2 linked regions of the Macaca mulatta genome follow. The protein of the gene in region 1 binds, or shares a complex with, the protein of each later gene. Links are inferred from orthologs where the notes say so. Each region holds a gene or a part of one and is shown in the gene's direction. Other genes may lie near its edges.

The links.
Region 2: UBL4A (region 1) and GET4 share a complex: the UniProt entries of both Homo sapiens proteins name them as parts of the BAG6/BAT3 complex. The link is inferred for Macaca mulatta from reciprocal best matches to the Homo sapiens genes UBL4A and GET4.

What each region holds. Positions count from the first base shown.
Region 1 is NC_133426.1:160,668,821-160,673,341, reverse strand, and holds UBL4A (ubiquitin-like protein 4A), read left to right. Parts: upstream 1-1,595; 5' UTR 1,596-1,603; coding exon 1,604-1,651; intron 1,652-1,854; coding exon 1,855-1,960; intron 1,961-2,208; coding exon 2,209-2,417; intron 2,418-2,535; coding exon 2,536-2,646; 3' UTR 2,647-4,448; downstream 4,449-4,521. Other genes in the region: SLC10A3 (P3 protein), read left to right, coding at 1-677. UniProt on the Homo sapiens protein: As part of a cytosolic protein quality control complex, the BAG6/BAT3 complex, maintains misfolded and hydrophobic patches-containing proteins in a soluble state and participates in their proper delivery to the endoplasmic reticulum or alternatively can promote their sorting to the proteasome where they undergo degradation.
Region 2 is NC_133408.1:34,831,829-34,835,623, forward strand, and holds part of GET4 (Golgi to ER traffic protein 4 homolog), read left to right. Parts: intron 1-1,011; coding exon 1,012-1,150; intron 1,151-2,254; coding exon 2,255-2,395; intron 2,396-2,401; exon of another isoform or gene 2,402-3,393; intron 3,394-3,427; exon of another isoform or gene 3,428-3,795. UniProt on the Homo sapiens protein: As part of a cytosolic protein quality control complex, the BAG6/BAT3 complex, maintains misfolded and hydrophobic patches-containing proteins in a soluble state and participates in their proper delivery to the endoplasmic reticulum or alternatively can promote their sorting to the proteasome where they undergo degradation.

The sequences.
Region 1 (4,521 bases):
CCCTGGCTCTGGGCCTCATCATTACCTGCTCATCGCCTGGCGGCGGAGGGAGCTACCTCTTCAGCCTCCTTCTTGGAGGGGACGTCACCCTGGCCATCTCCATGACTTTCATCTCTACGGTGGCTGCCACTGGTTTCTTGCCTCTGTCTTCAGCCATCTACAGCCACCTGCTCAGCATCCATGAAACACTCCACGTGCCCATCTCCAAAATCCTGGGCACCCTGCTGTTCATCGCCATCCCCATAGCAGTGGGCGTGCTGATCAAGTCCAAGCTCCCCAAGTTCTCCCAGCTGCTGCTGCAGGTCATCAAGCCCTTCAGCTTTGTGCTCCTCCTGGGCGGCCTTTTCCTGGCCTATCGCATGGGGGTCTTCATCCTGGCAGGCGTCCGGCTACCTATCGTACTGGTGGGTATCACAGTGCCCCTGGTTGGCCTGTTGGTGGGCTACTGCCTGGCCACATGTCTGAAGCTGCCTGTGGCCCAGCGGCGGACGGTCAGCATTGAGGTAGGGGTGCAGAACAGCCTGCTGGCCTTGGCCATGCTGCAGCTATCCCTCCGCCGCCTTCAAGCTGACTATGCCTCCCAGGCCCCCTTCATTGTGGCGCTGAGCGGCACCTCCGAGATGCTGGCCTTGGTCATTGGCCACTGCATCTACAGTAGCCTGTTCCCAGTTTCCTGAGGCCTCTGGGTCAAGCTTTCATCAGCCCCAGCCCCCACACTCCACCAAAGTTCTCATGCACTATGCACTCAGAAAAATCCAGGCTTATTTTTTTTACTGATTTTTTATTCTCCAGCTTTCAGTGCCACAGAGGCCATGCTGAGTTAGGTAGGTGGGCGCTGCCCAGAAAATATATTTCAATAAAACAGAGAAGCAAGCTTGGGTCCCTTCTAATCTTTGCCCTTTGGGGCCTGGGCGTGGGGGTAGAAAGAGTGTGCTGGGTAGGTGTGGACCAGGGTGGAGGGCCAGCTTGGGTGACACGGTGACCCCTGCATAGGCTTTCTCTATCAGCCCTCCCGGGGCGTGTCCCCACTGTAGGAGAGGTGGGAGGATGAGGGCAGAGGCTGGCCCCCCTACCCCCTCTCAAGCTCAGTGGGGTGTTTCGCAGCCAGACCAGAAAGGAGGAGCCAGAAAGCCACCAGGCAGGGAGCCGGCGGGGGGGGCGCCGTCTGTGGGTATGCAGGGCCAGGTTCCGCCAGCAGTAACGGCGCGTGGGGTGGTCCAGGCAGTCTGCGGGGGCGAGCGTACCTTCTGGTCCTTCCTTCTCCATTCCCTAGCTCCCAGATGACGCCAACCTGGCCCGACTAGTTCCTGCTCCCAACTCCCCGGCGCTGTTGCTTTGGGAGGGGTCCGCCGGCCAGGGCGGTCGCTGCGCGTGTGCTAGGCGGGACCCCAGGGGCACTCCTCCCGGGGTGCAACTGGGCCGGGGGGCGGGGCCGGGGCGTGGACGAGGCAGGAGGGCGGGGCCGGGAAGCGCGGGCGGCGGGCGCGCCCCTCTCGCTGCTTCCGGCGGCGGCGGGCGGTTCCAGCGCGCGCCCGGGGCGGCGGCGCGCGGCGGGGGGTGGTTGGGGTGCGCGCCGGCCCGAGTGGACGCCGTCGCGACCGCCATGCAGCTGACGGTGAAGGCGCTGCAGGGCCGGGAGTGCAGCCTGCAGGTAGGGTCCCCGGGCCGGGCGGCCGGGTCCGGCGCGCTCTCTCGCCGGCTCCTGGCAGGGTGACCAGCAGGGCCAAGGGCGGGCACGGGGCGGCCGGGCCGGGGACTGGGAGCCGGGAGAGCTGCCCTCGGGAGCGGACGCGTGGGCTTCGCCGCCTGGGGACCGCGGCCTCAACCCTTGCCTCCCACCCTCCGCGCGGCCAGGTGCCGGAGGACGAGCTGGTGTCCACGCTGAAGCAGCTGGTCTCCGAGAAGCTGAACGTCCCCGTGCGCCAGCAACGGCTGCTTTTCAAGGGCAAGGCCCTGGCAGGTACCCAGGGAGAGGAGACGCCCAGGGAGCCCCGCAGGAAGCGGGACTGGGGTGCGCGGGCCGAGGCCGGCAGCCGTGTAACGGGTTGGGGTGCCGGCGCCAAGCGCCACATGACCCCAAGGGAGGCGGCCGCATGCCTCACTGCCGGATGCCGCAGCGCTCCGCTCCCGCCGCCCGAGGCGGTCTCGCGTCCCGGGCCACCCCCACGGCGGCGGAGGAGGAGGAACCCATCGATCTGTCTTTGGCAGATGGGAAACGACTCTCGGATTATAGCATCGGGCCCAACTCCAAGCTCAACCTAGTGGTCAAACCCCTGCAGAAGGTGCTACTAGAAGAAGGCGAGGCCCAGAGGCTGGCCGACTCCCCACCCCCGCATGTCTGGCAGCTAATCTCCAAAGTCTTGGCCCGCCACTTCAGTGCGGCAGATGCCAGCAGGGTCCTGGAACAGCTACAGAGGGTGAGAAGGGTAACCCTGGGTATCCTCTCCAGGCCCAGTTCCTCCCAGCCCCTACCTCTGTTGCAGTGTATGGCTCCCCACTGGCAGCCCCTGAATCTTCCTGCCCTTCTCTCCCCAGGATTACGAGAGGTCCCTGAGCCGCCTGACGCTGGACGACATCGAACGGTTGGCCAGCCGCTTCCTGCACCCTGAAGTGACTGAGACGATGGAGAAAGGCTTCTCCAAATAGCATTCTCGGAGCATGGGGAGGTGCCCAGTGCCAGGCCACAGCAGCATGTCACACTAAGTGTGTTCACCTGTTGCAGTTGGGCTCATAATAATAGCTGGCATGTACCTGGCTCTGGCCACGTGCTAGGCACTCCTCACAGCTTGACCTGGGTTTGCTTCCACACCCTCAGAAGAGGTGAGCCAGCACAGCAGAGGCACTGGCGGTGAAGTGGCGGAGCCCCAGTCGGAATCCAGCGGCTTCTGAAAGTGCCTTGGTGTGAGAAGGAGGAAGGGGCTGCTTGGAGAGCTGGGCTCTGGCATGTCATGTTTAGCCCACTGAGAATATACCCTCAGGTGACTCCTTCCCAATCCTGAAAGGGAAAGCAGCTGTCACCTGACCTCTGGCGGGTCCAACATAGCCTTCAGCTTACCTCTGCAGGAGGCCAAGTGACAGCCAGCCCTGGAACCACCACACCCCCAGCAGCTGCTGCAGCCAGTGTGCTTTCGACAAATGAAAAAGCAGGTTGGGGCCAGGGAGTCAGCAAGTCACCCCAGCTCTGTGATGTGACTTCGGGGGAGTCTCAGTGCCACTTTGGTCCCCAGCCACGGACTTTATACAGTGAGGGCCACTCCCCGACCTGAGTCAGTGTCCTTCGTCTCACAGTGCCCCCCTCCCTTCTGTTCAGTAAACAAACTGAAGCCAAAAGCGAAGCAGTGGCCAAGTGTGACCCAGAGATGGGGTGTCCTGGCCCTTAGTGACACAGCTCCTCTCTGGGCACCCTGTCTGCTTGTCTCCTCCAGGAAGCGTTAGGGCTGATGGGTGACTCAGCAAGGCAATGTCAGAACTGGGGCTGGGCATAGGCCTTTGTCCTCGTCCCCAGCACTCGCCTCCCTGTGGAAGATGAACACATCAGCCACCTGTGTACAGCCGCTCACTTCGTGTGCTCCTTGTTGCCTGAGAGGAAACCTTGGGGTGCCAGGGTGGGGACAGAAACATGGGCTGGGTTCCGGTTCCTTCTCCACTGTGCCCTGTGCATGGGCACAAGAGGACATCTAGCCACCTGCTCCTTGGAGGCCCCCAGGGGTGGTAGAGGCTAGAAGGAAGCCACAGCAGGAGGACGCCACTCTGGGCCCTCCACCCTTGCCAAGTGAGCCGCTCACAGTGTGGTCGGGGCTGCACGTGCTGGAGGCCCTCCTGCCTGGGCCTGATGGGGCAAATATTGGGTCCCCGGGCTGGAAAGATGGACAGAGGCCCAATGGGTGAAGGCTTTGAAGAGCACACAGAAGCCCCTGGCCCCCCACGAGAGCTGGAGAGCCATGTATATGGCTTCAAAGCCACCTATGGCAGGGACACACTTGTGAGCATGGGTGGCCTGCAGCTCAGGTGATACATTTACCAGTGCTCTTGTTTGCGTGGTGCCAGGAAATTGATTTTGGAAAATGAAATAACATTAAAGGTGAATGTGAGACTTCCACTTTTATCCAAAAGGAGCTATATTAGCTAGGCTGTTTCTGATATCCAATCATTGGTTTAACAATAAAGGCAATTTGTTTAATCAGTAACGGAAATTTCTTGGCTTATGAAAGTGAAAAGCCCAGTGGTATCGGCATTGGCAGCAGGGGAGCAATTCTTCCAGTGTCTTCCTGCCTCCCTCTGCGTTTGTGTCTGCCACATCCCAGGCCACCACCTCCAAGGATGAAAAGGTGGCTGCCTGCAGCTTCCACAGAATCCCTCCCTCACTGCCTCACTGCCAGAGCAGCACCTTCTCTGTAGCACCTCTGCTGTCTCAGATGCCTCCAGCAAATAAACACCCTTGTTGGTCGGAACTGGATTGTGCGTCCAATCATTTTGGCCGGGGTAGGGGGTGATTATCCATCAGGGCTGGCTCCCTGGAGC
Region 2 (3,795 bases), on another chromosome or scaffold:
GCTATGTGCTTCCCTGGTGCTTCTCTCCTGGGGATGAAATCACACCCATAGGTAAAGGTTTGGGAATGTAGGGAGACAACAGGAGACAAAGCAAGGTGACAAGGACTCTGGCAGCCACAGAGGCAGCAGGAGGGCCCTGGAGGCTCCTGTTGGGCAACGCAGTTGGGAAAGGGCCCACTAGGTGGGAGAGGCAGGCGCCTGGTGAGTGCTGAGATCTGCACCACGGGAAGGGCTGTGCTCCCAAGGCATGCACGGGGCCTGGGAGCGGAGTGAGTGTGAGCGGGTGTTAGGACGGGGCCTGGGAGCGGAGTGAGTGTGAGCGGGTGTTAGGACGGGGCCTGGGAGCGGAGTGAGTGTGAGCGGGTGTTAGGACGGGGCCTGGGAGCGGAGTGAGTGTGAGCGGGTGTTAGGACGGGGCCTGGGAGCGGAGTGAGTGTGAGCGGGTGTTAGGACGGGGCCTGGGAGCGGAGTGAGTGTGAGCGGGTGTTAGGACGGGGCCTGGGAGCGGAGTGAGTGTGAGCGGGTGTTAGGACGGGGCCTGGGAGCGGAGTGTGCCTTTGAGATATCAAGGGTTGATCGTTGGGTCAGTGTGGTGAGTACATCAGGCTGGTTTTGACTGTTGATTACATGCTAGATGCACTGGCCTAGGCCCTGATTACATTGCTCCCTATAAGTTGCTTCTGGTAGGTGGGGAGGGTCCCATGTTAACACTCTGTAACTGATCATTACAACGCACGTTAATGTGATTGGATTAAGCAGCTCTGAGAGCTTGGAGGATGAAGGTGTTGCATGGCTGAGTGACTGTTCCCTGGTGATCTGTTTATTTGGTGCTGTGTGTGAGGTTTGGGCCGGCTCTGAGTCCCTATCGGGTACCTCTGCCTGTGGGCTCTGGCTGGGCTCTTCTCCAGGGCAGGCAGGTGGACTACAATTAACATAGAGTATCTTTCCACTTTTCCTGTTCTATATTATATTCATGAAATGCATTCAAATTTTTCTGTGTTTCCTTTGCAGAACAAAACTATTGTGAGTCGCGGTATCATTTTCTGCACTCGGCGGATGGGGAGGGCTGTGCCAACATGCTGGTGGAATACTCTACGTCCCGTGGCTTCCGCAGCGAGGTGGACATGTTCGTGGCCCAGGCCGTGCTACAGTAGGTGTTTGTGGCTCTTTGGGTCTTGGCTTCCATCGCTGCCTTGGCCGGGCGGCCTTAGAGCAGGTCCCCTTGTCCCCTGCCCGAGCCATGCTGCAGGATAAACTGAGTTCACTCTGGGCAGAATCCACAGCGCACTTGTCAGCCAGAGTCACCCGTGATTATTCATAAGTTTAACCAGTTTCAAGAAGTATCTTAGAAACTCCCCCTTTCCCGACGGGCACTGGAGCGCCCTCCACACTGCGCCTCTTGCCCGCTGCCGGGAGGCCCCGCGGCCTCTGCTCTCCTCAGGCCTGCCTCAGCCTCTGCCTTCCCGCAGTATCTGGAAAAGCGGAAATGCACACCCAGGTCATAGAATGGTGAGCATCTACCCCGCGGCCCCTCCCGCCAGCTCTCTGGGGCATCCTGCAGGCCGAGCTCCAGGCGCTCCTGCTCCAGGCGCTGGCCTCCGCTTCCTTTCTCATGAAAGCGTTATTTGTGTCCATCAGTTTCTTCCCACAGAACAATGTGGATTTCAAGGCGGGCGTTGGGGAGTTAACGTGGGATCTGGGGACAGACACCCTCTGACCTCGGTGGTGCGCACTGCAGAGCTCTGCCAGGAGCTGGCGTCCGTGACTTAGATGAAAAGCTGGGTCAAACCTGGAGCTCCCTGGCTCTGCACCGCACTGCGTACACGTTTTCTCTGGGCTGACAGTGGCTCTGCCCCTGGGACACTGAGCTCTCCCCGTGGGCCCTCCTCGAACAGGAGCCAGGGTCTGTGTGGCACCCGCCAGCTGCTGTGCCGTGACTGAGTGTTCTGGTGCGGGCAGCCTGAGGAGAGGAGAGCTTGCTCAGTGCATCGCATAGTTGAGTCTCAGGCTGGGGCCCAGCTCCAGAGCCTGGTGACCTTCCCAAGCTTCGTTCTCTTCACCTGTGAATTTCAGGCTTCCCCAGTATGCCCTGCACGTGAGGGGAGACACGTGTGAAGCACTGGGTTCCTCCGTGCCGGGGGCCGCGGGACCCATGGGCGCACGAGCTTGGGAAGGATGTGTCAGAGGCTGGCGCCTGTGCGGCCAGAAGCCATGTTCTCCAGCCCTTCCACCACCAGCATGTTCTCATTTCCAGGTTTCTCTGTTTAAAAAACAAAAGTAGCGCGTCGGTGGTCTTCACGACATACACCCAGAAGCACCCGTCCATCGAGGACGGGCCTCCATTTGTGGAGCCGCTGCTCAACTTCATCTGGTTCCTGCTGCTGGCTGTGGACGGGTGCGTCTTGGTGTCTTGGGGGTGGGGTGTGAATATGTGTGTTGTGTGTCGACGTGGCATGGGTAGCTGTGTGGGTGTGCGTGCAAGTGTAGCCATGGTGGGGGTAGCTGTGTGGGTATATGTATAGGGTATGAGTGTTGGGTGTAGACGTGGTATGGGTGTGTGTGCAGGGCTGTTGGGTGTAGACATGGTAGTGTGGGTAGCTGTGTGGGTGTATGTGCTGTAGTGTGGGTGTGTGCAGGTGAGTGTTGGGTGTAGACTTGTGGGTACAGGGGTGGGTGAGTGTAGACGTGATGGTGTGGGGGGTTGTGTGCAGGTGAGTTGGGTGTCGATATGGTGTGGGTAGCTGTGGGGGGTGTGTGTGCAGGTGCTGGGTGTCCATGTGGTGGTGTGGGTGTGTGTAGATGTGTGCAGGTGTGTTGTAGGTGTAGAGGGGGGAGTGTGTGTAGGTATGGGGTGTCTGGTGTGGGTAGTTGTGTTGGGGTACGTGCAAGTATGTGTGTTGGGTGTAGACATGGTGAGGGTGGGTGTGTGGTGTGTAGGTGTGTTGTCTGTAGACGTGTGGGTAGCTGCGTGGGGGCGTGCAGGTGTATTGGGTATAGACGTGGCAATATGGGTTGCTGTACGTGTGCAGGTATTGAGTGTAGACATGGCATGGGTAGCCATCTGGGTGTTTGTAGGTGTTAGGTGTGGGTGTGGCGGTATGCACAGGTGAGTGCTGGGTGTAGGCACGGTGTGTGCAGATGTGTTGGGTGTGTAGGCGTGTGTGCAGGTGAGTGCTGGGTGTAGGCACGGTGTGTGCAGATGTGTTGGGTGTGTAGGCGTGTGTGCAGGTGAGTGCTGGGTGTAGGCACAGTGTGTGCAGATGTGTTGGATGTGTAGGCGTGTGTGCAGGTGAGTGCTGGGTGTAGGCACAGTGGTGTGTGCAGGTGTGTGTTCGGTGCAGGCGCGGTGGTGTGTGCAGGTGAGTGGTGAGTGCAGGTATGTGTTCAGTGCAGGTGAGTGGTGAGTGCAAGTATGTGTTCAGTGCAGGTGAGTGGTGAGTGCAGGTATGTGTTCAGTGCAGGCGCGGTGGTGTGTGCAGGTGAGTGTTGGGAGTAGGTGCGGTGGTTTGTGCAGGTGAGTGGTGTTTACAGGTGTTTGGTGCAGGCATGGTGGTGTGTGCAGTTGTGTACGCAGGTGAGTTGGGTGTAGGCACGGTGGTGTGTGCAGGTGTGCAGTGTAGGCGTGGTGGTGTGCAGGTGAGTGGTGGGCGTAGGTGCGGTGGGGTGTGCAGGTGAGTGGTGGGCGTAGGTGCGGTGGGGTGTGTAGGTAAGTGTGCACAAATGAGTGTTGGGTGCAGGTGCATGTTTGGTGTAGGCGTGGTATGTGCAGGTTGTGTGTAGCCACGGTGGTGTGTG